2 linked regions of the Neurospora crassa OR74A genome follow. The protein of the gene in region 1 purifies or fractionates together with the protein of each later gene. This does not show direct contact. Links are inferred from orthologs where the notes say so. Each region holds a gene or a part of one and is shown in the gene's direction. Other genes may lie near its edges.

Region 1 (15,712 bases):
TCTACTCATGCGTATGACATCTCCGGCGCGAAGAAATCATGGCTCCTATTCAAGGTGTGAAGATCACCTTCTGTACCTTCATGTTATCAAAGAGATCATATCCCTCGACAGCCTCGGCGAGGGGCATGATTTTGTCGTACATGAAGCTATAGACGACAGAAGGTCAGCATCTTGTGTCAACATTTGTACAAACCAACATATATTGGTGCTTACCCAAACTTGTGCTGGTTTCTACCCATCACCTCCAACGCTTCCGGGAAGATGGACCGCACCGGACATCGGCCCATCTGTACTCTCAGGTTTTTGCTGTTGCCGGGAGATTAGCCAAACCATCCATTATCCATCATCTCACGAGACAGACGAGGCACGAAGGGGAAATCTTACTTATACCCATCTTCACCCGACCAAGGTAAATCATAGTGTCCCTGGACACCAATACTGCTGATCACTCCAAACGGCCTCAAAAGCTCATACGCCGTCTTGAGCGCCGGCCTGCTTCCCACCACCTCAACCACCGCATCCGCGCCCCTCCCCTCCGTCACCTCCTTAATCCTCTTCACCATCCCCTCCAGCCCAACACCTCCCTTCTCAACCTCCGCAAAGTTCAACGGCTCCGCGCCCAGCTCCTTCGCCAACGCCAACCTGCTCTCCACACAATCCACAGCAAACAAATGCTTAGGCTTGTACTCCAGCGCCGATACAACCGCGCAAAGCCCCACAGGTCCACAACCCACCACCACCACCGTCGCCTCCTCCGGGTTCAGGTCATGCATCAGTTTAAACGCGTTTTTCGCGCCGAAATATCCCGTGGGGAAAATATCCGCCATCAACACCAACGCCCTCTCATCTTCGATCTCGGGCGGGGCCACGACTGCGGTCCCGTCGGCAAGGGGGATGCGGACGTACTCGGCTTGTCCGCCGTCGAGCCCGGGGGAACCGAACAACAAAGAGGAGGCACAGCGGGAGGAGAAGCCGTGAAGGCAGTAGAAGCAGGTGCCGCAGGAGACGGTGAAGGGGGCGACGACCTTGTCGCCTACTTTGATGGTCTTCACAGAGGAGCCGACGGCGTGGGCGACGCCGGTGAATTCGTGGCCCATGATGAAACCTGGGGTTGAGGCCTCGCGGCCGCGGTAGGTGTGGAGTTCACTTTGGGCAGTTGTTGGTTAGCGGTGGTCGGTCAGGGGTGTGCTTTTGGTGATGGAGAGAGGGGGATTGATCGGTGGCAGTGAGGCAGGTGAAAGGGAGAGGGGAAACGGAGAAGGGAGGTAGGGAGGATAGGTCGTGATGGGGTGAGATACTGGGTGAGGTGTGTAGCATGTTATACTAAGCCTAGGAAACCAAGCGCAGAGGATAGAACCTACGAGCCACACAGAGCAGTCATCTGCACCTTGACAATGATGTCCCTAGGATCTTGCACTGTTCAATCATTCATGCACTCACGTTAGCCCATGTCACACACAAAAAACTCCGTCGTGCTGTAGAGGATGATGATTTGCAGTCAGTGTGCCCAGTTGGACTCGGGACTCGTTATGCCATCTGGGGAAGGTCTTGACTGAGTTTGTGCTCAGTGTGAAATATAAGTCTAGCATGATCAAGACCACCGTATGTATGTATCTTGGAGTGGTTGGTGGTGGAGAGCGAAAACACCAGATGCGGGAGGCTTACCCTCAGGAATCGGCCTCTCCTGAACAGAAACCTTCTTGGGTCCTTCAAAGACTACGGCCTTCATAGTCTTCTTTGCTTCTGTCGACATTTTTGTTTCTAAATTTCTTGGTATCAAGAGGCCAATTAGCTTGTTGAACTTTTGTGCGGTTGTGTTTTAGTGGTGAGTCCAGAAATTGTGTGGCAGAGGGGATAACAATGGCGGTGCTAATGATGTCTAGAATGTCGCATGTTTTGTGATCGACTTCAGTTTCCCCTCAGTTTCCGTTTCTGATTTCATGCATCTAGGAAGACTCATTGACTAGTGTAGTACACTGAACGACTGAAACATACCCGCTGGAACTAATACCCGATCGGCCGGCTGTCTGAGTGTTTATCCCGAGGTTAGATCTAGAGTGACCAGTGACCACACCTATTTATACTTGGGTGGTCGACTTTGCTCCAGCGAGCGATCTCGGAGAATCGTAGGAGGAGTCCGAAGAGGGGAAAACTCGGGCTTGTGAGGGGTCAGAATTCCAAGTAGCACCGGCTTTAAGTGGAGTAGTTCGTGGCATTCAGATTCCTTGTTTTGGCACTAAGTAGGGGTCGACGTCTTGGTAATTGATATTCAAGAGGTTTGTTACTAGCCATATCACAAACTTCATTGCTAGCAATAAACCCGCCGCCCCCTTTTCCCATGTTCAAATTCATGACTTCTCCAATCTTCAATGTCCAATGTTCCCCAAAACGCCCCGTGTCCGACCGTTGTATTTGTTCCCCATTGTCATTATCGTGAAAACTCGTGCGATGACGTCCCCTGATCCAATCAAGAACGCCAACAACCAAGACGGGTGATACAAGATGGTTCTATTAGCTCCGTGCTCTTCCGTCTATGAACGTATTCAAAAAAAGGGGACACCTTTTGTCGCATGTTTCCTCATTCTACACATCGGCAATGGCGTCGCAGACCCCAAGCAGAGTCATACCCAGGAAAGCAAAGAAGATGCTCATGTTCCTGTTGTGGGTCAAGCTCAAGCTCTCCCCAAAGAGCTGCAGTGCCACGCTGGTCATGATACCCGCAGTGACGGCAAACAAACATCCATATGCTGTGCCGTTGATCGTGATGTTGCTGTGCTTGGCAACCTTGAACCACAGCACTGCGACTCCGGCGCCCAGCGGCTGACTGAGGCCACCGAGCAATGTGGCCCAGGCAATGGCCTTGAACCGGCTGTTCAGCGCCATGTACAGCGGCAGGGCCATGGAGAATCCCTCGGCGATGTTATGAACGAACAGGGCCATGAAAACATTGAAGCCGAGCGAAGGGTTCACATGGTTGGTGGCGTAGGTGATGAAGCCCTCAGGAAACTTGTGAAGCGCAATGGCTATAACAGTCTGCAGGCCGATAGAGAGAAAGGCGTTTGTCGGTACGTGATGATGGTGTTGAGCCTCGATATCCTCCTCTACTGCTGAATAGCCAGTGTCGTGATTTTCTCCGTCATGGTCATCGTGGGGTCCATCGTGGTCGGCACGGTCTGCGTAACCGACAGACGACTCTCTGGAACAAGTTCGACTCCGTACTTGGTATATGGGACTGTTGAGGGAATCTGGTACCTCGCCAGTACCCACGGACTCTCCGGAACGTATGACTGGGAGGGTGGCGGGACGCCCAGGGGGGATGGAGCGTGCACCAATGTGTCTGAAGCACTCCTGCCCACAAGGATCCGTATATCCGAAACACGGGCCATCGCCATCGCAGTGAAGCTTGGTATCCTTAACAAATGATAGTACTCTGTTCGTCATCTGGCGTACGGATGGGCGTCTGCTTTGGATGCCGCTGGTGCTGCGGGCCTGTCTTCCAACGGTATGTGAACGACCAAAAAGACTAGGCCTCACTGGGGGAACTGACTGCGCCTCGTGGTCGGTCTCGGTCGGTAGCAGGGGAGTTGATTCGGTCGCATGCCCATTCACTTCGACCATGGTCGGTGTTTCTGGAGCTTCCGAGGATAGCGTCGTGACGGACTGTCCATGGGTACGGCTCGCCCAAGGCGGCTGGTGATAATGATCATCATGATGGGGCTGATGTTGCACATTTGCGTGTGGGTTATGGGAATGGTCGCACCCAACAACGTGGGAGGGTATAAATCGATGGAGGACTCGGGAGACGACCTGAATGCCGAAAAAGCCAGCAATGTAACAGCCCATGTTGATGAGGCCTGCGGTCTTCTCGTCCCGCCCGTCCGTAGTGAGGTATCGCAAAGCAGACGGAAGCATGCTAAACAAGGCCGAGAATATCTGTGGTACATTCAATAGTTAACTCGCTGTGGTTCTTGCAAGGTCAAGGAAAGCCACTAGAGCCAGGTCTGAAGAATACTAACCATAACCCCAAAACTCAGACTCAAAGAGCCTGATATGAAGACATTGCTCCCCTGTATACTAAATTTGCTCTTGATGTTGAAAAAGCGGATGGGGACATCGACGCAAATGATAGTTGATCCAAGAATGCATGCTAGGGATTGCTCGTCAGCTTGGATGCTCGAGAAACTCAACCCACACACATAATCGATACAACGAAGGGTGATGGATACGAACCCAAGCCACTCACGACGGTCAAAATCCACCCTCGGGTGTCATTGTCGATCGCGGTTGTAAGCATCGTGGCCGGAATTGGGTGAGGATGCAAGTTTGCCGGATTGTCGCTTTACGCCGCCCGTCTGTAGTCGGTTGCTGCAGTCTCTGCTATCCGTGATGACGGCGTGTATGGCATGGAGGGGAGACGGCGATCGATAACTGTACTTGTAGCAACGGGGAACGGTCAAATTGTTGCAGTAGAAATCCTGAATATAGTCCGATATTTGTCAAGAATGACCAAAAAGGGACCTTGGCGTCAACAGGAGTCAGACGGACGAGCGAGCCTCACAAGTTTGATCAAGATGGTGTTTGGATGGGAAAAGGCAGCGAGGCAAGATCAGACGCAGGCGAGAATCTAGGTAGCTAGCAGGTCCCGTCGTGGTTGAGAACCTCAACGGCCACACACACCCAGCCCAGACAATATAAGACACAGGACAATCAATTGGAGCCCGCTCTTGGGCGGCGGGTTTGGGGCCTGGGGTTAGATTGTTGATCCGGACCGGCGCTTGGAGATCGAAAACTTCGCTAGTGCAGTGTGCGCTAGTTTTGAGGACCTTGCTGGCACACGGTAGCCGGCCCTGAATGGGCTGTTGGCGTCGTGAAGGTAAGCAGGTGATCAGATTGGATGGAAGAATGGAAGTCAATGGGTCAGATAAGTATTGTTTCGGTCGGTAGGTACAATGGAGTGCAGGTGCCTGGGGCGTCGAGTGCGGAGAACGAAGACAATGCAAGATGCAGGGCGGATGTGGAGGGAACTTGCAGCCTTGGATGCCTGGGTGTCGACTGCAGTGCCGCAAGTTGATAGGGACTGCCGGTTTTGACGTCGAAGAAGTCGATTGATTTTGGACCGAGATATCCAGGCTGAGGTTGGGAAGGCGAACAATTGCAGCTCACGCAGGCTTTTTAACAAGGACCGTCCGTTCGTGATAAGAAGCAGCGAAAGCAACAAGGATCTTTATCATCGATGCCATCATAGGTCTCCTTCTTGGCCTTGTACCTACCATATGTAGACCACAGATCCCCGATTTGGACTCGGCCCACTTTGTTTCTCTTTTTTGTTTGGTAGCTGTCATGAGCAATTGTCCATCATGAGTCTCAACAATTCAGCTTTCTGATGGATATCTATAGATGCTGTTTGGTCTAGCATATTTCTCAGGTCTCATATGGGCTAGTCAGGGTTGCTCAGTCAAAGAGACCCTGAGTTTCCGAGATCGAAAAAGAGCACTGAAATACCTATACTGCATACCTCTACCAACCTGTCAATGCGTTGGAACAGTTGGCAAAATGCTCCATATCAGTTGCAACGAAGGGACTGGACAGCATTCTATCTCGAAGTCTCTGCCCACCAGCTGAATCAGATGAAGTGCATGTGTTTGTGATGTGGTACCGTCCAGTTGCCCGGTGGGGACCTCCCCACTCCGTCGCCGTGTCACCAACCGTTCGGGGGAGCCGGGGTCACTGGGTCCTCGGGTGTCCCTTGGAGATGCCGCGGGGGCGCGAGTCGCAAGTCGCGGGTCGCGGATCGTGGGAAATTTTATTAAGTTGAGCTTTGGAACTTTTCCACCATTGCAATTTCCCTTGTCCGAATCTCCTCAGCACCTCGCTCGCCTCAAAGCCGCGGAGAGTACCCCTTGCGCGCACCCCGACAGGAAGCAGGCCCATCCAGTCTATCCAGCAGGGCAACCCCACGACAGCTAGTCACCATGTCGAAAGCTACCATCGCCGTCATTGCCGCCGTGAGCGCCGCCGGTGGTGCCGCGGCCACCGCCGCTATGCTCTCCCTCAAGAGCGACAAGAAGGTCGACACCACCTCGCTGAACGCTCCCGTTCCCGCTGCCCCTTCCAAGCCTGGTCCGGTTCCCGCCAGCCAGGTCTTCAGCGCGCCCGCTCTCGCCGGCGGTTATAAACCTGTCGACCCCTCGGCCTTCTTCGAGTACGGCTTCCCGGGCCCCGTCGCTGATCTCGCGACCCGCCAAGGCTTTGTGTCCTCGTACGACCGCCGCACCAAGAACCCGCACTGGACGGTGGAGCACATCACGCCCGAGTCCCTGTCCATGTCCGAAGGCGACCGCAAGAAGTCTACTTTCGTCGAAGACGAGGCGATCCCCGAAAAGTTCCGCGGCAAGCTCAAGGACTACTTCCGCTCCGGCTTCGATCGCGGGCACCAGGTTCCCGCGGCCGACTGCAAGTGGTCGCAAGCCGCCATGGACGACACCTTTTACCTGTCCAACATGTGCCCGCAGGTGGGCGAGGGTTTCAACCGCGACTACTGGGCGCACTTTGAGGATTTCTGCCGTCGCCTGACGAAGCAGTACCCTTCCGTCCGCATCGTCACCGGACCTCTGTACCTGCCCAAGCGCGACCCCAGCGACAACAAGTGGTACGTCAAGTACGAGATGATCGGGCAGCCCCCTAACGTGGCGGTGCCGACGCACTTTTACAAGGTCATCTTTGCCGAGGACGGCAAGAAGGGAGGAAACGTTGCGCTAGGAGCTTTCGTGTTGCCCAACGCCAAGATCCCCAACGATAAGCCGCTGCAGGACTTTGAGGTGCCCCTGGAGGCGGTCGAGAGGGCGAGCGGTCTCGAGTTTGCGAGCAAGCTGCCGGTACAGAGGAGGAAGAGGTTGTGTGCGGAGGCGAACTGCTCCCTTATTGTCAAGGACTATGCCGAGAGGCAGAAGTCGTTTGGTAAGAAGCAGTAGGGGGATGACAAAGGTATTGTGGGGAGGGGGGGAGAATAGAGAGAGAAAGAGAGAGAGAGAAAAATGATGGTTGTATCGAGGACGGTATCACCCAAGATGACCTCTTGTGTACACCTCGATTTCTTGCCGTGACGAAGGTTGGGGATAAGGTCGATAAATGGGAGTCTAGCGGGGAAGGCCGCTGTGAGGCTTGTACTTGCATACAGGCGGGTTGTGCATAGCATCATACATGAGCATAGTTTAGCGTTTTATGATTATACCCCCATTGGAAAGGGAACACTGTCCGAAGTCGAACTTGACAGGGTTCAGTTAAAGGTGTTGGTCGGTCAACTGCATATGGACATCAGGCATACGTGCGCTTCTACTCCTTTAGCCCTGCGGTGTGCCTTCCAAATCAGAGCTCATTTTCGCGAGCTGATATATGACGGCAAGCCCATTCGCCAGGCAAGCACTTATCGACACCAAGGCATCCTTGATCACAGCCCGTACAGTGAACCAAGCATGATATCAGTGCATAACGTAGGGAAGAGGTTTAAAGCTCCACAGCCAACCTTAGTAGCAGATTAGGGGGTAGCAACCATGGTGATATATTCAATGCCCACCAGGCAACTCAAAGTCGTCTGTCTATCTGATCAAGGTTCCTCACTCAAGCACCGGCGAGGTACCTATCTTTCCCGACAACATCAAGCTAGCCAAACAGGAAGTTCGAAGTTAAACCCACACACAGTCGCGAAACGATCGTAATCCCTTTCTCTCTTTCTCTCTTTCCTTTGTTCATCGTTCCCGCCTTCCAAATGTTGTTCATCTGATCTTGTCTCGGTTGGGTATACGTTCACACCGCTCTGATCAACGAATCCATCCATTCCCAAAACGTCAACCATCAACCACAGGGTATCGGTATCCATGTCTACATGGTACGTTGTGGCTGCGATAGCCATCTGGATGGAAGATCAGCATTATTGGTCAGTCAGTCAGTCAGTCAGTCAGTCAGTCATGACCCTAACCACCGACATAGGTGATCAACGTTGATGTAAACATACCAACCCCCATTCAACTACCCCCCCTTTCTATCTTCATAGACCGCAGTCTTTAACCAGACTGGTACTTCTTCTTGGAATAAGCCGTAGTAGTCGAAGCCTCCGTCTCCTCGGGCTTCTGGTCCTTCGCGGACTCATCCTTGAAACTAGAGTCTTTAGACTCGTCCTTCTTGGAATCGGTGGTGGCCCCGGTCTGATCTTTGGGGACTTGCTCGTTACCTGGGAAGGTGGTGCCACCCGTGGTGGTGTCTTGGCCGGAGGTCTGGTCGCAAAAATAAGGGGCAGGAAAAGCTGTTAGCAAGGGGTGTCTGGTGCGGTAGATGATGATATGGCTGTGGTTGGGCTGGAGGTTCTGTGTAAAAAAAAACTGGTGAGGGTTGGTGTGGAATTGGAGTGGGATGGACCATGAAAATGCTAAGGATAAGGATGCTGAGGATGAAAGGATATGAGATGATGGCCTCACGAATGTCTCCTCGCGAGTCTGTGAGTGGTGGAGAAGACAGATGTGAGACTTAGCAAAAATGTGTCTTTTGTGAATGATCATGAAGATTAGAGGATTGGGTAAAAGGAGATAGGCAACGTACGTTATCGTAAGACGACATGGTGATAGAGTTGCGAAGTAGGTTAGAGAAGTGGTTGAATGGTGCTTGTAGTAGAAGGCTATGGATATATCATGCAGATGAGGATATAAGACTCTCAATGCTCTTCTTTTAGATCTTTTCATTCTTGCAACTCGGCGACTCCCTCATACTTATACTTTTTTTTCCGTCCAAAATTCTCGTCCTCTGAATTCCTTCTTCCTTCTCCTTCCTCTTCCCATCCAAGAAAGTTCGCAGAGTAACCTTCGCCTCTCCAAACGCTTTCATCTTACCGCTAAACAACCAAGCAAGTTCTTTCTCCACTGTACACAAAAGAACAGATTCCGCGCAACACCACCGCAACCATTCCTTGCTCCTTGAAACCACAATCATACCCATCTCTTCCCGTTTTGCCCTTCCACGAGTCGTTTACCGCCCACCCAAGTCTTTCTCAGACGATACCACCATCAACCGACCGCAAGGCGAGAGGAGGAGGCCACGTCGAAATCGTCTCATGCCATCATCCTCCTTTCCCCTCCAGTCATCTTACCGCTTGCCGCCTTCAAACTTCTTGCCGAAGTGTCTCCGGTTACCTCGATATACTCACTGCACGGTAGAGGTAACTTGTCCCACGTTTTGGGTTTGGACTCTGAAGTAGCTCAGGTGGAAGCTCAAACGCGATTACCATTCACTCACGCGCCTTCATTTTCGCCTTGCCGACGAGCAAAATCCTTCCTTGTAATGCCTCTAGTGCAGCAGAAAATGGTACTTCTCTTTTCTTCTAAACTTTTTCTTTTTTTTTTTTTTTTTTTTTTTTTTTTTTTTGGTTACTTTTTGGGTCTTGCGGTCACTTTTCTCCTTTCCCCGTCCCAACCGCCTTTCCGCCATCCTCAAGTCCAACGAAAAGAGGTAGCCAGGCAGCAAGGTGTACCTGTCGTGTACTGTAGTAGTCGTTATGTATAATCAAATGCCTGCGTAATCTCCTTTTCTACCGCCTTTTGCTTTCCCGCTCTTCTCCTCTTGTCTTATTCAAGTAAAATCCGAGACAAGTTGACGCGCGGACACACAACCGGTCAGGAACATCAAACCATGTGGTTCCCTCATGGCTTCGCTCGCCTCGATGTTCTGGTCAAAGAACTGTCCGACACCATCCCCCCGATCAAGTGAGGTGAGGGGAAAAGAGAGAACGAACAAAAGAGCGAGACTGAAACAGAATTGGTTGTTCCGCGCACGCCTTCTAGCAAGGCACAATGGTTGGACTGTATCATCGCCGTAGATCCCGTAATTGGACCAGAGAAAGGTGAGGGGGGGAAGGGAAATGAAAGGCTCGGTCGGTGTACTACCTACCGCCGTATATAACAGGCCGCTTTGGGGGACGGTGAGTCTCACATGTTATGCGGGCGAGATACGCACTGTATTAGTCGTGGGTGCGCATGAGAAAATGACCAAGTCATTGTTGTTTGCAAAAGCAAAGCGGTCGTCAATCCAGCCTCATGGCTTCAACATTGAAAGTCGATAGGAGCCTCGGGTCAGTCTGCTGATGACGCTGCCATACTAGACTAAGAGGCTGGGCGTGCCACGCCCCACGGCATCATTGACGCAACTGCGACTGAGAGTTCAATTCGATGACCAGGCGAGAGAGTTGGGCAAGAAAGGAGTACAAGTCGTATCAGTTTGAGCAAAGTGTTACGACCAGCCGCGTAAGCCGGCGGGGCGGCAGGCAGGCGAGAAAGTTGACTACTGGACGGCAAAAAGAAGGGGGTATCGACATATTATTTTGAGAACTGAGAACTTCCATGCCTTTTACTGAAGTAAAGAGAAAAATGTCATTATTCCATATGCAGGAGGAAAAAACAAGACACAGACAATCAGAGCTTGGCTCGGTCCATGTTGTTCTGAATGGCACCACTCATCATGGGCACGTCAGGAAGTCCTCCTTGAGATCCATAGAGAACGGCTTGCCTGCCTCCCTTTGTCCCCCACCATGCAACACCAATAGCCGATCTCTCGACGTCCATCTCTCCGCTGACCAGGATCTCCCAGAACCGTCTCTTGGCAGCCTCCCTCATGGCCACGTCTTCGATCTGGTTCACAGCATGAGCGGCCTGGGTTAGCCAATCCTCAAAGATCCGGAGGTGGAGGAACGGCAGAGAATCTATCAAGGTCATCACCAAGGTACTCTGTTCAGACACGGGTAGCTCGGGAGTGGCCGATTGGACTTGAGTTTCAGGAGGCGGCAATGGCACCTTGCTTGCGACACCTATGCGGAAACGGACCATCTCTAAAAGTGTCTCAGCCAGCTGTGGGTGGGTTGACGAAATGGGGTACGGGGGGGAAAGGATCTGCATCAAGGTCTTGAAGGCCAGGCGGAATTGGCGCGGTGAAATGTGCGTGGGGAAGGCCGAGAACAGCGCCTCGGCATAGAAAGGGGCGAGCTTTACGGTGACGGGTGCGTTATGTGGGCACGAGAGAACCGAAAGGACGGCGCTGTGTGCTGCCTCGAACAACTCGAGCATGCGTGGCGAGAGGGGGGTTGAGTGAGTCAGGTAGGCCATGGCCGGTTGCACAATGAGCGAATCGCAGTCCTCGGGTGTCAGCTTAAGGGGGAGGTGTTCGGCAACGTTCAAGTAGAACAAGTCCAGGGTTCTGTGAAGGGGATGTGGAGGAATGGTGCCCGGGTTAAGTGGCTTCGCATCGCGTAGAAAGCTGGCACAGGCGTCCGAGTACCTCGCCAGGTTGTCAACGGACGTAAGGTACGTGAAGGTGTATACCTGGAAGGCATCGCTTCCGTTCCGAGACGAGATGAAGTAGAGGTAGCGGAGGGCCTTGAGGGTCTTGCTGGCCACGACGGGTGCCATGGCATCATTCCTCATCCGAGGATCGAGCAGACTGCGAGCCACAATGGTCTGTAACACCGCTACCGAGCCATACATGACCTTCCTCAAGAGCGTCCACAGAGCCACCCAAGGACCTTGTAGAGTCTCTTGGGTGAGGTATACTTCCTCCTCGGAGATTTCGATTTCCGAGAGCTTGCTAGCCTCCCATTCGTGCAGGAGCTTTTGGGTAAACGTGAGCAGATCATTCTGAGCCTGCAAGACAACGTTGGTATCACGCGCATGTTCGATGGCAAATCCAACGACCTTTGACAGAGGTCCAAGTCCATTGACCAACGGCTTTTGCTCAAGCTGGCGAAGAAGAAGAGCCGATGGGGAGTTCTCTTGCCAAGTAAAGTGGTTTCCTGATTGCTTGAGATCTCCATCGATAGTGCAAAGAAAGAGGCCGTCTTGCAAGCCATCTGCGCCAGTCATGCCATTCAGAGCAACGGGCACGATAGCGTCACAGTCCAGGGCGAGGCGAGAGGACTTTGAAAGTAGTGGGAAGGCGTAGGTGAGGGCCAGCGCTATCGGGCCGGGGGGAGCAGGGGGCTCTGGTTCGCGGTGTTGTCCGTGTGGTTGCTCATTGGGGCGGAGGGCAAGGTTGACAGCGGTGACGAAGGCTTGCTCGACGGTATTGCGCATCGAGTAGCTCAGGCCATGGCGATTCCTGGGATCTTTCTGACTTGTCATGCCAAGGAGAACACCGCAGAAGACAAGCAGATGCTGCCACCTGCTGGACTTGTCGTCTGCGCCCTTGAGGACGGCTGATACCCAGTCATCGCACGACAAACCACCACCTGTGCGTGGCGCCTGTGGCACCGGCGGTCCTGCCTGAGATCCTCTCGAACCTGGCGGCAGGCCTTGTGACGCTCGCGACCCGGGCGGGCCATGCAGTGCCGGGTGTGTCTGAAGTGGAAGTGGCTGGGGCGGCTGCTTGTGTTTGGCTTGCTCTTGAAGTTTCGCGGCCTCCAACTCCTTGTTGCGGACGTGGGTGGCAGCGCTGTTGAAGATACTGATGACGCGGTAGCAGGCCCTCATGCCATCGCCGCGCTCCCATATTGCTGGCGCATTGAGCAGTTGCGAGGTGAGGACGGTGATGTTGAGCGGGTTGGAGAGGTGGGTCAGCAGCGTGGTGGTGGTCGAGTATAACTGTTCGGTGCGATCATCGTCATGGACGTCCTGGTATAACCGAAGAACATTGGTCAGAAGTCGTTCGACCGACATGGCGTGCTTCGTGTGGATGGGTCGCCCCTTCTCGTCGTGCTGCTCGTCGTCGTCGTCGTCGTCGTCGTCGTCGTTGTAGTGGTCGTCGTCGCCGCCGTCGCAAGTCTTCGTTTGTCAATTACGTCGTGGGATATTAGAGATTAATGGGGCGGTATGTAAGGACAGCGATGGGCAGGGGAACTAATCGAGATGATTGTCACGGTGGAACCATGTCATGTCTATTGGCAAAGAACAAACATTGAAGACGGGACCTGATGGAAGTGGAAGGTTGCGACCGTCGTTATTTCCTACCGGGGGCCGAGGTACTGTAAGGAGGAACGACGGTAAAGAGTGCAGTGTCAGTGGGTGAGGAGGCTCTCTGGGGGGCTCCATTCGTTCGATTCCCGTCCCCGTTCAGCTGAACCCGACCTGATTCTTCTTGCCATCCATGCACATGCATGATACGGGGACGCCCCATAATATCGAGGTCCGGTCCAGTGTTACCTACCTAGTCATGTACTGTAACGTAATCGGCCAGTGTTCTTGGCATGTGCGCTTTTGTAAGTAAGGAACGAATGGTTACAAACGGGACTTTTCTTACAAGAAACACGGCCAACGACAACAAGCAGCAGCGAAACTCCAAAGAACATCACCAGACAATAGGTACTGAATCCATCCAGGCTACTAGCCAAAATCACCATCAACCAAACCAGCCATTTTCCAAACTTTACACCAATCAATACTTGATACAACTACCCTCAGACGACATCACACCACGAGATAGTCAACATCTGCCCAGGCTACATTTTTCGCTTACAATTTTTGCAGCTCGATGGCAACGGAACCATCCGCAATGGAAACACGCTCGTACGGCTCTTGACTAGTTCCCCAACATAGTGTATCTCACTAACAGCCATACTTGCAGTATCATCCGAAAGGTTAAACCGGTTGGCTATGTCACTCCTCCCTTTCCTTCCCTCCACTGGCCTCCTCAACGTGACACCTATAGCCTCTACGACCTTGAGGACATGTGGCGCTTCACTCTTCTCTGGACCCTTATCATCTATGGCCTCGTTCACCTCGGTGCCGCTGGCATTGCGCTCATGATGCAGGTCGGCAAGAAGAAATCCAACTGGAAGTTCCTCTGGCTGGTCCCTTTGCTCTATGCTGCTGTTGCTGGCGCCGAGGCTCTGCTGGCCGGCTGTCTCGTTGGGCTGGTAGTGGGAGCCACTTACAAAGCGGGCGCATTCTCCATGTCGACGTGGATCCCCTTCATCTGGGGCTGGGTCAACGTGCTCATCTTGATCTTGTCGTCCTTCAGAATCCAGGGCGGTCTTTAGTGGAACGTCTGGCTTCTCTGCAAGGCCAATAAGCTATGTGCTTTCTGGAAGTGCTCAGCATACCTCCACCGTTGATTCATCCAGGTACCGAGCCTCAAGCCGAGCTGACGGGAGGGAAGTGCCCGATGTTTTGAAATGGAACCCACCCGACCAACTGACCCCTTTTTCGACATGGCGATCAGGAACCGGGACGATACGGGGTTCTAGGGGCACCTCGCGGGCGCGTCAGGGGCTCTGTAAACGAGTGGGCAGGCGCTTTCCATGGACTGGCTGGGACTGCCCGGAATTGCTTGCTAGGATCCCAGGTTGCGTCATTGTACTGCTCACAGCACCCCGGCCCCTGTATGCAACGCTGTTAGCGGTTCGAAGCGGGGCACAACATCCGTGAACGAGGAACTGCCCGCATCGAGGTCTTCTTGATGGAGATTTGTTGCTGATATCATTTCACCTTTGCATCCTCGACGGGACCCAACATCGCCTCTTTGTTTTCTGTGTTGCTGTTTGGCTTGCCGGGGTAAGGGGGGCCACTTTGTTGGCGTGTCAGACGACAATACGAAGGAGATCGCGGGAGCGCAACAACAATATCTACGACTACAAACATCTCGTCGCGACTCGCTTTCTTGACCGCATCCCGACCGGCTCGACGAATACCTACCACGTACCTACCTCTGCTTTCTGCACCCGGCAGCCTGCAATCGACAGGCCTCAGAATGGAAAGAATGGAAACATCGTCCAATTTGCGCCAGTGGTCGCAAGAGGGGTAAGTCTCCCTAAATGCTATTGTTTGGTTTTCTTGCCATTGTTCTCTGTTGCGACGTTGCCGTCCCCGGGCGCCAGCATATGATATGTGTACATCTTCGCTACCTCCCACTGCCTCTGTCGCCATAACCGTCTTGCCTACTCTGCCGGCTCCTTTGCATCACATCACCAGATCAGTCTACCATGTCTGAAACTCCGTCGTCGTCGTCGTCGGCGCCCTTGGCTACTGGTCGCAGTGACGGTCCATCAGTCCACCACCGTCAGCATTCACGCGGACAAACCACTCACATTAACATCCCTGCCGCTACCGCTACCGCTACCGCTACCGCTACCCATCTTTCAGAAGCTGACCTTTCCCTTCCGACGGACAGCCCAACCAGCGCGAACTCCGACCTCAACCTCGTCAACGACCGAGACTACTTTCCCTACCAGCCCAAGTCCCTAGCCGGCATCGCCACGCGCTCCTTCTGCCTCGGCATCGCTGTTACCATTGGCGTCGGCGCAACCGTCGCAACCCTTTTCTACACATCGAGCTCGCTCTGGCGCCTGCCCTTCTTCCTCGCCGCGCTCGCGACCTTTCACTTCCTCGAGTTCTGGACCACAGCCGCCTACAATACCCGCGCTGCCGATGTCAAGTCCTTCCTTCTCACGGCCAACTGGCCCGGCTACGCCATCGCACACGGCTTCGCGACGCTTGAGTGTCTGCTGACCAACGCCTTCTGGCCAAACCGTGCGTGGGCGCCGTTTGGTTCCGGTACGCTGCTCTGTTTGCTCGGCCTGGCCCTGACGGTGATCGGCCAGGTGGTGCGCAGTGTGGCCATGGTACAGGCGGGACCGAGCTTCAACCACTTGGTGCAGCGCCAGCGAAGCTCGGCGCACGTACTGGTGACGTCGGGGATCTACGGCAGGTTCAGGCACCCGAGTTACTTTGGCTTCTTTTGGTGGGCG
Region 2 (15,930 bases), on another chromosome or scaffold:
CAAAAAGGGGAGGAGGAGGGTGAGTGTGAGGAGGTTGGTGAGGGCGCCGAGGGAGGGGAGGAGGGAGGCCTGTTTATTTAGGGGGGGTTAGTGGTTAAACGAAGGCAAAGAAGAAACAAAAAGAAAAAAAAAAGGGAAAAAAGAAGAAGAAAAATAGAAGAAACGAAAAGAAGAGGAGGTAAAAGAAAAAGAAAAAAGAAAAGGAAAAACAAAAAGAAAAAGAAAAAAGAAGCAAAAGAGTATAAGTGAGAGGTGTGGGTGTGACGTACCTTCCCCAAAGACCACCCCAGCCTTTTACTCGCATACTGAATCATCAACAACTGTTCCGCCTGCTCGCCCATATAGTACAACCAGAAACAAAGCAACAGCAAAACCGCCTTGGGGTTTTGGAGAATCCAAGTCCCTGCCTCCTTTGCTTTTTCCAAGTACTCTTCCACCCGCCGCTGCATAACAGTCCTCTTGTTCTTCATGACCGTTTCATCTCCCTCTTCCTCTTCATCTCCCTCTCCCTCTGCACCAATCATCAACTCACCACCACCTATCTCATCATCGCCTGTCCCAGACGAAGAAGGCAACGTCTCCTCCACAAAAACCACAGCAACCACGTACCCCACCACCTGCACCAGCATCCCGATCCACATGGCCAACCACGCATCATCATAGGCAATCATCGCGCCGCCAATAGGCACAAAGACGAACCGCGAGACGATGGACGAAGCAAGCAGGTAGCTGAAGAAGGTGGAGCGTTGCTCGGGTGGGCAGACGTCAGCAACCAAAACATAGGCGATGCTGGTGAAGGTGGTGCTGCCGGAGCCGAGGAGTTGGAAGAGGCCGCCGAACCAGACGGCGCGGATGGGGAAGAAGGTGGGGAAGTAGTCTTGGGGAATGTTAGTTTTTTGTGTATTATTAAAAAGGTAGGTATGTAAAAGATGGGAAAAGGGAAAAGGGAAAAGGGAAAAGGGAAAAGGGAAGAGGGAAGAGACAAAGAAAAAAAAAAAACTTACAGACGAGTCGAACCCATGCTTCGTTTAGTAGACAGCCAAATAAAGCGAGGAGCAAGACTTTTTTGCGGCCGATGCGGTCGGTTAGGATCCCCCAGGGGATGGCGAGGGCGACGGCTGGAGTTTTGCATGTTGTTAGTGTTGTGTTTTGTTTTGTTTTGTTGGGTTGTGTGTAAGTTTTTTGTTCAACGATCATGCAGCGTGTTCCTTTCATGGTCATGATATCCCACTCAATTTATCACCCGTTCATCTTCTCTGCCCTTTACCCTTCCCACCCTCTTCTCTCTCTCTCTCTCTCCCTCTTTTTTTTTTTTTCTTCTTTTTCTTTTCTTTTCTTTTCCTTCCCTTTTCCTTTTTCCTTCTCTTTTCCTTTTTTTTCCTCTTTTCCTCTCTTCATCTCTGCCCCCCCCCCCCCCCCTGTTTCCTCTTCCCCTTCTTTTCTCCCCTTCTTCTTCTTCCACCTCCCCTCTCAACCCCTCTCCCCCCCCGAAGAAATAAAAAAAATGCATATGAAATAAAAAAAAAAAACCCACCAGGTAATATCTCAAACACATCCTTCCAAGCATTCACCTCCGCCACTTCACTCTGCACCGGTCCCACTTTACACCTATCATCTTCAAAATTCGTTGGCAGCCCTTCCATTCCTCCTCCTCCTCCTCCTCCCAGTCCTGCCCCAATTGAATCGGTCATTCCCTTCTCATAGTACTTTCTGCAGATGATCCCCTGGAGAATGGCGAGCGAGGGCGCCGTGGTGATTTGTACGCCCATGGTGAAGAGGAGGATGAGGGAGGCGACTGTTAGGAGGGTTGGATATAGTTGAGAGGAGGAGGAGGAGGAGGAGGGGTTTTGGTTTTGGAAGGAGGGGACATCTTGGGGAAGAAGGAGGGTGGTTTGTTCGGTTGGTGGGGTGTCGTTGGGATCTGGTGGTGGTGGTGGTGGTGGTGGTGACATTGTGGTGGTTTGGTGGTTTGTTTGGTGATGGGGATGAGTGATGGATAAGGGAGTTGGAAGTGAATAGTGGGATGAAGTAGTAGGAGACAAAGTTGAAGCTGATCAGGTCAAGGGCTGGGGAAGTGAATGGAGAGTGATGCTGATGAAATAAAAAAGAGTCTAAACGCCTGAGGTCAAATGAAGTGTTAGGGAATGTGGAGTAATGGTCAAACCTTAAATGAACCACAGTAAACAAATGATAAGGGGTTTCGCATCATAGGGCTGGATGGATTGGTGTTGTATTGGTAAGAGTACGTAATGCTGGGCCGGAACGCGCAAAGGACGCGCAATACTTGCTGGGGTTGCGGTGCGCTGGCACGGTATAGGATTCAATAGCGGTTTGTTGGATGCGGCTTAACAGAACCCGGAATGATATCAAGGTTGTATTGTCATTGGGTTCCGTCTTATGTCTTGATGGTTGCAAGTGAACCAGACTCACCCTTTGCTTGAGAAGAGATGACGGGAGAGACTAACCACCACGCGGAACAGAACACCGACCAGAGGCGTATCTACGACATGAAGCATTCATAGGGCCCTTCTCGGTAACCAACGGTTTCTCTTTGTGAGTATCATACATGATGACTCTACCATGAAAGAATTGTATGGGAGTATTCAAATGTACCTTTGCTTTGCCCTGGAGACGGGACGTGTAAGCGCTAGAACAGATGCGGAAGGTCGACAACTTTATACCAACTCTATTCCAGCAACCGGCCGCGCGTTTACGTCCACGTCAAGCAACCAAAAAGAACTTTCATGCCCAACATCGCTCCCGATTCAGTCGATATATATGATGGGCTGCCCTTTTTGTCTAATCCATCGCGCCCTGCCCCAAACTCCCTTTCCTGGCCCGGCCTATGCATGCCCATCCTCTGTCACAAATATGTTTTGGTCGTCGTCATTGCTGGAAACATGTGGTATAGTATGTCGCGTATAGCTCAAGTATACAAACAGATCGATGGGCGGCTATGGGGTCCTCAGACTGTAAATCGGCTTCATATGGTCTGTTGTTTGTTCTCTAACTGGGGAGTATGGTTTTTCAAGCCGCGGGGGCAGCAACATAGGCGTTGATGGCCTTGACAGCGTCGCCATCATGGGCCTTGAGCAGCTCAGTAGCCTTGGCCTTGGTGAGCTCGAGCTCCTCGACCTGTTTGATGCCCCGTCAGTAACCTGTCCCCCACGGCGATTACTAAAGACACTCACAAGAAGGGCGACATCGGCCGCATCGACCTTGACCTTCTTCACCTCGGCCTGCTTGCTGCCAGCAGTGCTGAGAGAGTGGAAAGCGTTTTGGACGGCATCCTGGTCGACCTGGGCGGAGGACTCGTCTTCGCGGTTGGAGTCGAGGCTGGACAAAGCAGCGGCGGCCTTGCGGTCCTCGGCGGACTTGGCCGTGGGCTGAACCTCTTCCTCAACGTCACCGCCAGTGGCGCCCTCGACGACGGCAGGTGGTTGTTTGTCCTCGGCCATTTTGGAAGTTGAAACTGAAATTGGCTGTGTCGGTGGAAGAGGAGACAAATGGAAGTCGGACAGACGTCGGTTGCTAAAGCTTGAAACAGGAGCTGGCTAGGTGCTGCGGCAGTGTTACCACTACTACATACTGCAGGGCTTCGCTGTAGAACACTTCAGTTGAGTTCCCGTCGCGACCAGTTGTGGGGGCGGGGCAGGCACCACAGCGTCACAGTGGGACACATTTTGGGCTTCTTTCTAACGCTGTTCTGTTATTGGTCAATTGACTTTCCCAAGGACTCCAACTACTACCTAAACTTTGGAGGGACGGTTTTGACACTTTGAACAAACACCGTGTGGTGGGTGCACTTCAGTTGCCACTGACTCACCACTCCAGTCCCGACAAGCCGAAAAGATATTTGAATAGGATCTTCCGTCTTCTTTGAAGTCCAGTCATGACTATCAACTACCACACACCATTCTTTACCACTCTCTTTTCCGAGAAAAGACCACCATAACAGTTGTCGTCGTCGTCGTCAAGACTTTAGTTTTTGAACATTGACCCACCTGTCCTTTCTTAGTCACTCGCTGTTACATAGAATACTAGACGTACTTACTGCCAAGACATCCTCAGCGCCACTTTGGCTTCGAAATTTCCACCCACTTACACAGCAACTTCCACTTCACCATCTTCAAATCCGTCGTCACCATGAGCCAACAAACGACACCAAACGCCCCCGGATGGGCGCCCGACTCGTGGAGATCCAAGCCCATCAAGCAATGCCCCGAGTACCCCGACAAGGCTGCTCTTGAAAAGGCCACCAACGAGCTCAAGACGCTCCCGCCCATCGTCCTCCCCAACGAGATCATCCGTCTTCGAGAACACCTTCGCGATGTTGCCCAAGGCAAGGCCTTCCTCCTTCAGGGTGGCGACTGCGCCGAGCTCTTTAGCTACTGCCAGCAAGACGTGATCGAGTCCAAGATCAAGCTTCTTCTCCAGATGTCGCTTGTCCTCCTCTGGGGCGCCGACAAGCCCGTTGTGCGCATCGGTCGCATGGCCGGCCAGTACGCGAAGCCTCGCTCCTCGCCTGTCGAGACCATCAACGGCAAGGAAGTGCCCTCCTTCCGTGGCGACATCCTCAACGGCTTCCACCCCGACGAGCGTGAGCTGGATCCTAACCGTCTCGTGCGCGCCTACCAGTACTCGTCAGCCACGCTCAACTACATCCGCGGCGCCATCGGTTCCGGCATCGCCGACCTCCACGGTCCCCTCGACTGGGGCCTCGGCCACGTGCGCGACCCGGCGCTCAAATCCAAGTACCAGGAAACCGTCGACCGCATCCAGGAAATGTTGCGCTTCATGCACACCATCGGCGCCGACCAAAACGAGAAGCTGTCGACTGTCGAGCTCTTCACCTCGCACGAGGGTCTCCTTCTCGAGTACGAGGAACCGCTCACCCGCCTGCTCAACCACCCTTCGGTCCGCTCCTACCCTCCCGACTCTACCACGCCCCCCAAGAAAGAATACTACAACACGTCGGCTCACTTCTTGTGGATCGGCGACCGCACGCGCCAAATCGACCACGCGCACGTCGAATACTTCCGCGGCATCGCCAACCCCATTGGTGTCAAGATTGGTCCCTCGACACCTACTTCGGACTTGCTGCCTATGCTGCGCACTCTAAACCCCAACCGCGAACCCGGCAAGGTTACGCTCATTACGCGCTACGGCGCCGACAAGGTGGCCTCTCTCCTGCCTGCGCACATCCGCACCGTCGAAAGCTCGGAGTACGCCCGCACCGTGGTCTGGCAGTGCGATCCCATGCACGGCAACACACAATCGGTTAGCGGCGGCATCAAGACGCGCAAGTTCAGCGACATCTTCTCGGAGCTTCAGCAGACACTACGCATCCACAAGGAAGAGAAGTCGTACCTGGGCGGCATGCATCTGGAATTGACGGGTGACGCGGTGACGGAGTGCTTGGGAGGCGGTGCAGGACTGGATGAGGATGACTTGAGTACTAACTATACGAGCTTCTGCGATCCGCGGTTGAACGAGAAGCAGGCGCTGGAGTTGGCCTTCTTGGTGGCGGATCATTATAGGCAGGAGAGGAAGGAGAAGGAGGCTGAAAGGAGAAAGTCCTCGGTGGTTTAGAGGGCTGCTTGCTTGAGGATGTGGAGGAGCTGGCAGATGAAGAAACTAGGTACTGAGGCTACTAGTGGAGGAAGTGCTACAACTATTGGGGCTGCTACAGCGAATGGGGCAGCAAATACAAAATAGGATGCGAATACCAATGAGGCTGCTACTACACCTAGTGCAGGTGGTGGTACTGGATGTGGCGGGACTGCTGCTTCGGAAACTCTTTTTTCATGACAGGCCAAGGTTGGAAGCGGCTGGCATGCCACGACGGGAGATGGCCCGTGGTCGCGATATAGATATTGTGTAGTAAAAGGGTGTATAGTTTTGTGGTGAAAATAGGGTTTCTCAAAATTCAAAAGTGCTATAGCGTCTTATTCATCTTCAAATTCATCTTCAAAAGTGTGGTGGTTTGTGAACGCAGCGTGTTTTGGAAACTCGAAGCCCAGGTAAAGTACAGGGTAGTCAAGGAGACGTATCGTGAGCACAGTGACGTACCTACAGTACACCGTCCGTCGTCGGGCTCCAGCAGCTTTGGTCGGTTGGTCACTGCACAGGGCATGTTTCAGGTCATGCAACAAGCTACTTACTGGCGAGAGAAGGGGGATGGATCATTTACCCCGCTGTCTTGTATCATTGGCTTCTTCATCCCAACCACCAACGAACTTGTCGACCATTTCTTCAATCTTACACTAGCACTCTGTCATTGGGCTGTATTGTATCCCGCGTCTCAGGTAGAGTGAGTAGTACTTAGGTGGTTTGCCCCTCTTCTGTGTACATACCAGAAGGGTTCCCCTCTTTTTGATCTTCCGTCCGATCAACTTGAAACATCCGACTCGAACTGACCAAGCTTTCCACTTTGCTTAGAGCCGGCTTCCAGCAGACTTATAGCTTATCTATCTTTACTTGCGTAGCGAGTTGGTCATTCTCGTTTTGTTTGGCCGACCTCGTTACCCCTCTTCCACTTCCGGTTCCAACTCTATTCCAATACCCTTCGACGTCCATCGCAAACCCCAACAACTCTCCCCGACCAACAACCCAAACAACCCATACCAACCGCAACGATGGTCGACCGTGGCCGTAAGCCCTCCGCCCTGGCCTCCACCCCCGGCCTCCCCCCGCAACCCCAAGTCGCCTTCTCGTCGGACAACTCTCGTGTGACCGCCACTCTTCCGACCGGCGAGAGCGTCTCGGTCCTGCTTTACGGCGCCACCGTCGTCAGCTGGAAGGACAAGAACGGCCATGAGAAGCTGTGGTTGAGCGAGGCGGCCAAGTTGGATGGAAGTAAGCCTGTGAGGGGCGGTATTCCCTTGGTTTTCCCGGTATGTTGTCCGCCGCCCTTGGTCATTTATTTCAAAGGAGGGAAGGAAGGAAGGAAAAAGGAAAGAGGACATTATGCTGACGAGAAACGGAAATAACAGGTCTTCGGAACAGCCCCCGACCATGCTCAGACCAAGGATCTCCCCCAGCACGGCTTCGCCCGCTCGTCGCGGTGGGAGTTCCTGGGCAAGTCCACTTCGGAATCGACGCCCACTCCCACCACCCCGGCCTTTGCTGCGACGGCCACCAGCGCTGCCGGAGCGGTGGCGGCTGCGGCGGCGGATTTATCTGTCAAGTTGGACTTTGGACTGAGCTCTTCGGGCTTGAGCGAGGACGCCAGGGCAAAGTGGCCGTATGCGTTCAATGCGATTTACAGCGTGACGCTGAACACGGATAGCCTGACGACCAACTTGGTCATTACCAATGACGATGAGAGGAGTTGGGAGTGTCAGATGTTGATGCATACCTATCTCAGAGTTAACGTATGTCCCCCTTTCTCTCCCCTCCTTCCTTCCTTCCTCCAACTAACGGACAAAAAAAAACAGGACATCACCTCCGTCTCCATCCACGGCCTCGAAAACGCCTCCTACGTCGACAAGACCACCTCCCCCATTTCCACCAGCACGCAAACCACCTCGGCGCTAACCATCTCCTCCGAGACCGACCGCGTCTACACCCCCGCCGGCGACGACCCCGCGTCCATCCCCATCACCGTTTTCGAAGGTGACCAACCCAAGTACACTGTTCTGCGGGACAACCTCGCCAACGTGGTGGTTTGGAACCCCTGGATTGAAAAGGCGCAAGGTATGGCGGACTTTGAGCCCAAGGACGGGTACAAGAACATGTTGTGCGTGGAACCGGGGGCGGTGGCTACGTGGCAGGTGTTGGAGCCGGGCGATGCGTTTGAGGGGGCGCAGACGATTGTTTTGGGTGGGAAGACACAGAATTGAACCCAGGATGCGTGGGTGCGGGTGCGGAGGGCAAAGTGGGTTAGAGAAGGGATGAAGGGGAGGTTATGACATCAAGGCAAGGGGATGGAAGTGGTAATTGGATTAAGGGAGGAAACGGAGGATGTACATGAATGATGATAAGTGATGACAGTGGATATGTGGCAGAAGGTGAGATAGTATTGTAGCTGTGGGGGCGGCCAGTTTTGCTGGATAGATAGACAGACAGACAGACGGCAATGACTATAGTAGCTGGACAAGAGCTCATGTATAGGAAGTGAAGGACGTGAAGAGTGATGGCAATGACTGAGAGAGGCTTACATCAATATAGCCACCATTTTCACTACACTGGCTTAACCTGCTCTTTATGTTCCTAATCAGTTATATAAAGAAATGCAGCGCTGACATGAACCTAAAAACTTCCGCTATGCTATGCTATGCTATGCTATGCTATGCTATGCTATGCTATAACCCAATATCCCAGACGCCCGGAACATCCCAATTCCTACAAATGCCACATGCCACGATGATCCTGTCTGTCTATTTGCTTATACAATATGACTGACTATCTTACAACTTTCCCTTCATCTTGCTCGCCCTTCTCAAATCGCCAAGCTGTCAAGCGTCCTTGTTCCGGGCTATGGTACTGGCTACCCAGCGAGGCAGTTACAACGTCCCTTCTCCCTCCCCCCTTTGCCTTGCTTAGTTTCCATCCATTACCCATAACCCCTCACCACCCCCCCCGTATCCATCCATCCATCCATCTTCTTCTTCTTCTTCTGTCTGCATTTAGGGATTTGCTTCTTTTCTTTTTTTTTTTTTTTTTTTTTTTTTTTTTTTTTCTCTCTTCATTTTGTTCCCCTGAATATGGCCGCCGCTCGGCAGTAGCTCAGCTACCCCTCGAACCTGAACCTGCACCTGACTTACCACCACCACCACCACCACCACCAGAACCACCACCAACAACCCCCGCAACACCCCCCAACTTCCCCAACAGCGCCACAATATTCTCGCTTATCGCCGGGAGGAGCGAAGAAGCACCACCTCCATCGGGAGAAGCAGAAGCAGAAGCAGAAGCAGAAGCAGAAGCAGAAGCAGAAGCAGAAGCAGAAGTGGAGGCGGAGGCGGAGGCGGAGGCGGAGGAGGAGGCAGGGAAGTTATCTCTGAGAATCGCTTGGCAGATGGCCATGCAGGTTGCTATGTCGTCTAGTGGGACTACTGCGTAGTCACCACCACCACCACCACCGTCCTTGTTGGAGGAAGAGGACGACGATGAAGGGGGGGAGGAGGAGGAAGAAGAAGAAGAAGTGAAAGAAGAAAGAGCGGGACGACCTTGGTTGTGGTGGATGAAGGCGTCGAGGTCGAGGGAGGGGGGGGTGTGGGGGCCGTTGAGTGTTACTAGTAGAGGTGGTGTGACTGGTTCTAGTACTTGATGGTGGTGCGTGGTGAGTCCGGGGGTGGTGGTAGGCGTCATCACTTGTTGGATGTACAAGCTTGACTTTTGATGCTGTTGCCCCTTTTCTCTCTCCTTTTCCCTCTCCTTCTCCTTCAAGTGCCTAGCATCCTTAGAACTAACACCACCCCCCCTCGCAGTCTGCAACACCCCCCACCCCCAAACCGCCAACCCGCCTAAATGCACCGCGGCCGCCCAAAACTCTCTCAGTTGTCCTTTCGGAAACTCCCTCGCGAACCTGAGGACCTGCCCCGCATGCCACAGCGCCTGTCGCGCCTCGCTACTATCCGCCCATCTTTGCAGGACCGGATAAATCCGTTTCGCTTGCTCTTCGCCTTCTTTTCCCGAAAAGAGCTGTAGGTCTTCTAATGACACATGGATATGCATGAGTAAAAGGTGGAGGAGGAGGAGTTCGTTAGGTGTTGTGTATGAATACAAGGGAGCTGAAGGAGAAGAGACCAAAGCGTGGAATTGGTGCAAGGTAGTGCGCAGGTCGGCGAGTCGAGAGATGAGGAGGGATTGCGTGGTGGTAGCATTGGGGTTATTAAACGGGGATGTAGGAGTGTAAGTGGATGAGGAAGAAGACGACGGTTGTCCGAAAAGTGGGCGATGGATCGATGCCAGCTGGCGGTATTCCCAGATCAGCGACCAGAAACCATGCAAGTAGATGGAGATGGCGAACTGGACGTCTAGTCTATGGTGATGCCGGACCAAGAGGTTTACATCCCGAAGTAAGTCGCCGAGACACGGGACTTGTTCGTCCATGGTAGAGGAGGACGAGGAGGAGGCGGCGGCGGCAGCTAACCACCGAGACTTCCACTCTTCTTTGGTGCGCGCGAACCAACATTCTTTCGGGCCCGGTAACGGCATGCGCATCTCCGCGTAGCTGATGCTGGGATTGCTCAGCTGCGTCATGCTCACTTGCGCGTCGCGCAGGTACGCATGGAACGCTAGTCGTTTCCAGGATTCCATCTCCATCCACCGCTTCCACTTATCTTCGAGCTCCTTGCCTTCGTCGGCTTCCGTCACTACGATGGAAGGGAGGTAAGCGCCGCGGGTGAATTTGCCTCGGCCGCGCATCATGGCGACGGGGACCGTCAGGTGGCATTCGGCAATCTCCATCTTGCGCCGGTTGCCGGACCAGACGCCGAGGTCCTGCGTCAGGACGAGGGCTTGGACGAGCCCGAGGTCCGACACTTTGGAGTTGTTCTCTTCGAAGCGGCCGGGGATCGAGACGCGGACGGCTTCTTGCAGGGCGAAACCGAATTTGCGGAGGGCGGGCACGGGCGCGAGGACGGCGCCGCAGGCGGCGGTGATGGCGAGCCATTCGGGGGGTTGGGCGTTGAGGGACCAGTAGAGCGCCGAGGGGGAGTGGTCCTTTGAGCCGGAGCCAGAACCAGAACCAGAAGAGGAGGAAGAAGAAGAAGGAGGAGGAGGAGGAGGAGGCAAATGACAAGCAATAAAACTCGACACGGAACATAGATGCGAAGCCAAAAAGATGTGGATCCAATGGTTGATGGACCCCGAAGAAGGAAACGAAGAGGCTACCCTGGAGAACTGGGACGAGTTGGATTTGCAGATGGAGAGGACTATGGAGAGGATCAGGTCGCGGCCCGAGGAGTGAAGAGTGTGCTGGTTGAGGGTTATTAGTTGCTGCTGCCCCTGAGAGCTGGAGTTTTGCTGCAGTTTGGTTGCTTTGTTGTTGTTGTTGTTGTTGTCGGTTGGTTGTGAAGGAGAAAGATCAGACGACTTGCGTTTGAGTGCCGATTTGGGAGAGAACGAGGGAGAAGAGTGCCCGGATGTTGGGAGAGGCAAGTGCGATTGTTCGGCGTAGACGTTATCCGTTCGCTGGGGGGTCCAGCGCCAGGGAGAGTCTGTCCATATCTGAGCCAGTTTTGGTCGCATGGCGGATATGTTCACGGGATCTGAGTTTTTTGTGCCTGCTTGACCCGTTTCTGCTGTGGTGGTTGTCGACGGAATTGGGCCTGAGCTTGGACCGAGCTGAGCTGGATCAGAAGAGGGAAGCGGAATAACAGGCTCGTCATGTAACCAGTAGTCCAAAAGCCCAAAGTCCATGGCATTCAGGTCAAGACTGGAGTCATCGCAAAAGTCAAGAACTGCCAGCCCCTGAGCCTGGGAGAGCGATTGGTCGTACAAGACGTCCCGAAGAAAGTCGGAAAAGGGGAGTTTGGCCATGTTGTCGAGCATGCTGCTGCTTGTGTTATTGTTATGGGGGTAAGTTGCTTGGACTTGAAAGGCTTGTTCTGGGTTTGGGTTAGCAGTCTGAGTCTGGTCCATCATCGTTTCGGGAGTCGGTATATGGGATTCTTCGCTTTCGGTGAGCATGGGACTGTGTTCGACTGGTTCCGAAGGGTAATGTGTGGAGAAGCCAGACGCATGAGGCTCGGAAATCGAAGGTCGTGGGTAATAGGAAGCTTGTCTATCCTCATGGTCATAACCCTCAGCGCGGTCGTGGGCGGATAGATGAAGGAGATGCAGAGCTGCGTCTTCCGAGGAGCCATATTCGCAGCTTATCCCTCGATTTTTACATCGTGTACATCTGGGTGTCGTCAGTAGTCGTTCACCTAATCCCTTTCAGTTGTAGGTACGCACGGCTTCGCTTCTTCACACTTCACTCTCGCCTTCGCACAAGCCTGACAAGCATGCGTCACCCGTCCAGCACCAGGCGAGGAATTCATACGTCTCCTTTTGGCTCCATTGTCATCTTGGTGGTTGGTGCGGTGACGCTTTAGGAGATCAGCTCGGGCAAAGGCTTTTGAGCAAACCTAACCAGGACAGTGTTAGTCCAAGTTCCAAGAAAAAAAATCAGCTGCGACAGCAAACATACATCGCAAATGAAACGCTTCCCAAGAGTATGGGTCGCAATGTGTCTCTACGCTTCGGTTAGCTACATTGCTGCGATACTTTGACTATATCCGTCATGGACATACCTGTAAGTGTTCAGGCCGAGAATATCGTCCTTGTTTATTGTTAGTATGCCGAATTCAAAAGCGAGCATTGTAACCTACGTAAACAGTCGGCACACTGATAAAGTGATTGTGTGTTGGAGTGACTCCTCGACAACGGTGGTGGAGGAGGAGGAGGATTATGAACTGGTGACGGCAGTGATGGTCGATGAGCTTGCGATGGAAGATGTGATGGCGGCGGAATGGGATGAGAAGGACCAGGAAAGGATAGTGGAGCAAGAGACAAGCCAGACCCAACCCCGGGCCGGTTGCCGATGGGACTGAGGTGGTGGATCGGACTCGGACCCGGATGTGGTTGATGACTGTGGAGAATCGAGTCTATACGGGGAGCTTGGCCCGATCCTTGCCGGTATGGAGGGTCCGGAGGATGAATAAGATTCCCAATGGGACTGGCCATGGTCGATCGATAGTGGAAGATGGCTTCAACACAGGTCGAGTGGCTTTGGATGTAAAGACGCTCTTAAATTGCCACTCAACAGCACTACCCTAGACAGTAGATAGCTCGGCTGTGGTAATAGTACAATGTCACAGGTGTCTCAAATCGAACTTTTGAGTACACGGTTGCTCGGTGAAGAAAGTAGGCAGATCCGGAAAAGTGGGAGAACGACGGGAAGGTTATTGACGGGTATATGGTGGCCGATGGGGTTGATATGCTTGGTGTTTCGTCTACACGTGTAAAGTTGTATGGGTTGGTGTCCAGGGGAAGGGGACGATGGTAGGTCCCATGTCTTTACTATTATTTAGTTGAACATCTTTCTACAAGCCTCCCGTTGTCCGACTGAAAACCTAGCCCAGTGAATTAGAATGACGCTTGGCACGACCTGGGCGGGAATAGCGATTAGAGAGTTGGTGCAGATAGTATGTATGTAGAGCACACCGGCCCCCGCACTAACGGCCATCTCAGCGGATCAGTAGCCCCCCCTGACGGTTCCTTAGACAACCCCTGTTCGGCTCGGATCCCATCCACTTACCTTAACCTACACTGACACAGGACCAAGACACTTGGATTTGTGAACATATCCACGGTGTGTTGAAGATCATTGCCGACTTGTCGGACTGATAGGAAACCGGCAAGTTCAGTTGTCTCGGCAATGTCAACGGACTTTCTTGGAATTGGAGTCTGGAAGGGGAGCAAAAGATAAACATTGAAGAAATTGGTCAGCGGAAAAGAAAGAGACCAAGACCTCCTTTTGTAGTTTTGACTCAGGTTCCTGGTTTTACCATGTCGAAATGCCCGTTGGAAATGGACGGGATATTCTGAATGTCTGATGCCGTACATATACTGGTTGTCCCTTTTCACAGTGTAGGAATCTGGGTACTCCCTGCAGTCACCGTTCCACTATTGGTGATCACACCTTTTGAACTGAGACAGAACTTGCCGTCCTAGGTGGGAGTCGTATACCTCCGCGGAGGAAGGCCTATTGAGCCATCAAGGGCATCATCACTGGTCGGTGACAAGTGGGTGGTGATGGTGATGCAGTGTGAGGAAGCAGTGCCGCAGTCTCCGGTACGCGGACATGCGGTGAAGGAATAACACATTGTCAGCCCTGCCATCTCACCGTAGCGGAGTACACTCCGGGCAAAGCGAATCATGTGCCCCTGAAGAGCCGACATCGTTCCACGAGGATCGACAACATGGATGCATCAGTTAGTGGAGGAGGCTCGAATGATGTGTGATGCGCGTCGTCATCCTCACCAGCATCAGCGTCGTCAGCTCTTTTTTTTTGTCGGGATTAAAACCGGGTGATATTGATTAGCATTACGATAGCATTGATAGACCAGCGTGGTGAGTTCTAGGTGGTCAGTCTGGGTCGAGGTTTTCCAGGTAGACTTGCAACAAAAAGAAACGTCGGGCCCTTTGCTCAGTCCGAATCCTCTTCGTAGTCGTCGGGCAACTCTTCGAAACGACCCTCCTGAACCGCCTTGGCAACAGGGTTCTCAACATTAACGATTCCCAGCTTCCTCGCCCTGCGAAGAGAAAAAGGGTCAGCTTTCGGGTTTTCCGACTTGACTGGAAAAATGCAGTCACTTACCTCTCAAACAAGACAAACAGTCTCTCGGCCTCACGCTCCTTCTCCTCCATGGTCATCTCGGGCATATCCGGGAACGTCTCGGTATCCAAGAACTGGCCAGTAATGGGGTTGACCGCCCTCCTGCTGCTTTGACCAGCCTGGGAACTTTCGCCCTTCTCGGCATCGCCACCCAGCCCTTCGGGAACCGGGATGTTGTTCTGGAACAGGAAGCCAGAAGCATAGCCGTATCCGATGTTTTCGACAAACTTGTTTGCGTCCTTGTCCGACACGTTGAACAGAAGGTGGGACACAGCTCTGGCAAACTCGGGAGCAATGGGGTTGGTCATGTTAGCTAGCAGCTTGGCGGGAAGGGTGTCGCCCTTGCCGAGAACCTTGTTGCGCTCCTCTTCTGAGGGGAGCAGGCTCTTGCGGATGAAGTCACGAACGGGAGAGTCGGCTGGGGCATTCTCGTAGATGGAAGAGATGATGCAGACTAGAGGGGTGACGGTTGCGTCGAGTTCCTGGTCTGAGTAGGCTTTGAGGGAGAGATCGAGAAGGGTGATGAGCTTTTCGGCAAGACTGGAGGGTGCGTCCTTGGGGTAGAGGCATGACCGTGCTTCCTCGGAATCGAGCTTGAGGTTCATGAGCGCATTGACCAGAGGACTGAGGGGAGACTCGAGGGGCGGTGTTCCCTTTGGTGGTGGGATATCCAAGCTGAGAAGAAGGGTCACTATATGCGGGACCGCAGCAGTGAAACAGTCCAGCTTGGATGGACATTTGCTGGTGACATTGAACAGGAGCCGTAGTGTCTCTCCCAGGGCCATGAGTTCCATGGGGTCCGGCTTGGTCTTGTTCTTGGCATGCTCGGAGATTCTGGAGGCGTGGCGGGCGAGGTTCGCAACCATGCTCTCAGCCAGGTGATGCTCATCGATGAGCTTGGCAAGGTCAACAGTGGTGCCGTAGGTGCTGAAGAAGATGACTCGGGTGGCCAGAAACTCGTCGTCCCAGTTGTCGTTTTTGAGCTTTTCGCAGGCCTTGGACTCATAGCCTAGGTCAACGAAGCGCTGTCGTGTCTCGGGTATGAGGAGCATGGCGTTGCAGAGCACACGGAGGGCATTCCGAGAGGTGGTTTCTGACGGCGAGTCGAAGGCATGTTTTGTGAGAGTCTCAATGCCTTGCTTGGTGAAAATGGGGTCGGCATTTCTAGGGTCTCGGCCATACACCTTGAGTTCCTCCAGGGCCTTGTCTCGTTCTTCTGGCGAGAGACTTGTGCTCTTGAGGTCCTCGGTCAGCTTATGAATGAGAGTGGTGACAGCTTGCAACTTGGCTGGATAGGTTGTTAGTTTATGGATGTCCAAGGTGAATGAATGACTGGTGACTGACCTGGCCCAGAAACTCCTATTGAGGCCATGGTGATGTGCTTGGTACAGTCAAAGGATTGAGTGACAATTTGACCGGGTTCCTTTTTGGGTGACCACTCTATGAAAGGAATACCTAATGAAGAAAGAGTGAAATATATCGTGACTAGGGCAAAGTGGTGGTGGTGGTTGACAGGTACGTAGAGAAGCGGACAGAAAGTGGATGAAGACTGACTTGTCAGGATGACCGAAGACGGTGAACACTGTACATACTCTACA

Evidence for each region.
Region 2: the proteins of NCU00030 (region 1) and NCU02786 purify together in Saccharomyces cerevisiae (affinity purification with mass spectrometry; 4 studies listed by BioGRID, with this or other methods). This does not show direct contact. The link is inferred for Neurospora crassa OR74A from reciprocal best matches to the Saccharomyces cerevisiae genes NUC1 and YMR099C.

The regions. Positions count from the first base shown.
Region 1 is NC_026503.1:2,341,843-2,357,554, forward strand, and holds NCU00030 (mitochondrial nuclease), read left to right. Parts: upstream 1-5,617; 5' UTR 5,618-5,972; coding exon 5,973-6,971; 3' UTR 6,972-7,340; downstream 7,341-15,712. Other genes in the region: NCU00028 (S-(hydroxymethyl)glutathione dehydrogenase), read right to left, coding at 50-146, 214-306, 385-1,146, 1,362-1,416, 1,666-1,753; NCU00029 (ZIP metal ion transporter), read right to left, coding at 2,584-3,933, 4,017-4,147, 4,231-4,294; NCU00031 (hypothetical protein), read right to left, coding at 8,061-8,270, 8,593-8,610; pex8 (peroxin 8), read right to left, coding at 10,455-12,686; NCU00033 (integral membrane protein), read left to right, coding at 13,498-13,532, 13,591-14,005; NCU00034 (prenyl cysteine carboxyl methyltransferase Ste14), read left to right, coding at 14,948-15,712. UniProt on the Saccharomyces cerevisiae protein: This enzyme has both RNase and DNase activity.
Region 2 is NC_026501.1:9,192,134-9,208,063, reverse strand, and holds NCU02786 (hypothetical protein), read left to right. Parts: upstream 1-6,165; 5' UTR 6,166-6,638; coding exon 6,639-6,896; intron 6,897-6,995; coding exon 6,996-7,376; intron 7,377-7,439; coding exon 7,440-7,844; 3' UTR 7,845-8,253; downstream 8,254-15,930. Other genes in the region: NCU10239 (hypothetical protein), read right to left, coding at 1-69, 270-877, 1,005-1,118, 1,535-1,952; NCU02784 (hypothetical protein), read right to left, coding at 3,028-3,135, 3,192-3,458; aro-8 (phospho-2-dehydro-3-deoxyheptonate aldolase), read left to right, coding at 4,147-5,592; NCU02787 (hypothetical protein), read right to left, coding at 8,731-11,854, 11,908-12,080, 12,143-12,187, 12,246-12,274, 12,324-12,678; RIC8, read right to left, coding at 14,144-14,249, 14,315-15,620, 15,677-15,704. UniProt on the Saccharomyces cerevisiae protein: Catalyzes the interconversion between the alpha and beta anomers from at least three hexose 6-phosphate sugars (Glc6P, Gal6P, and Man6P).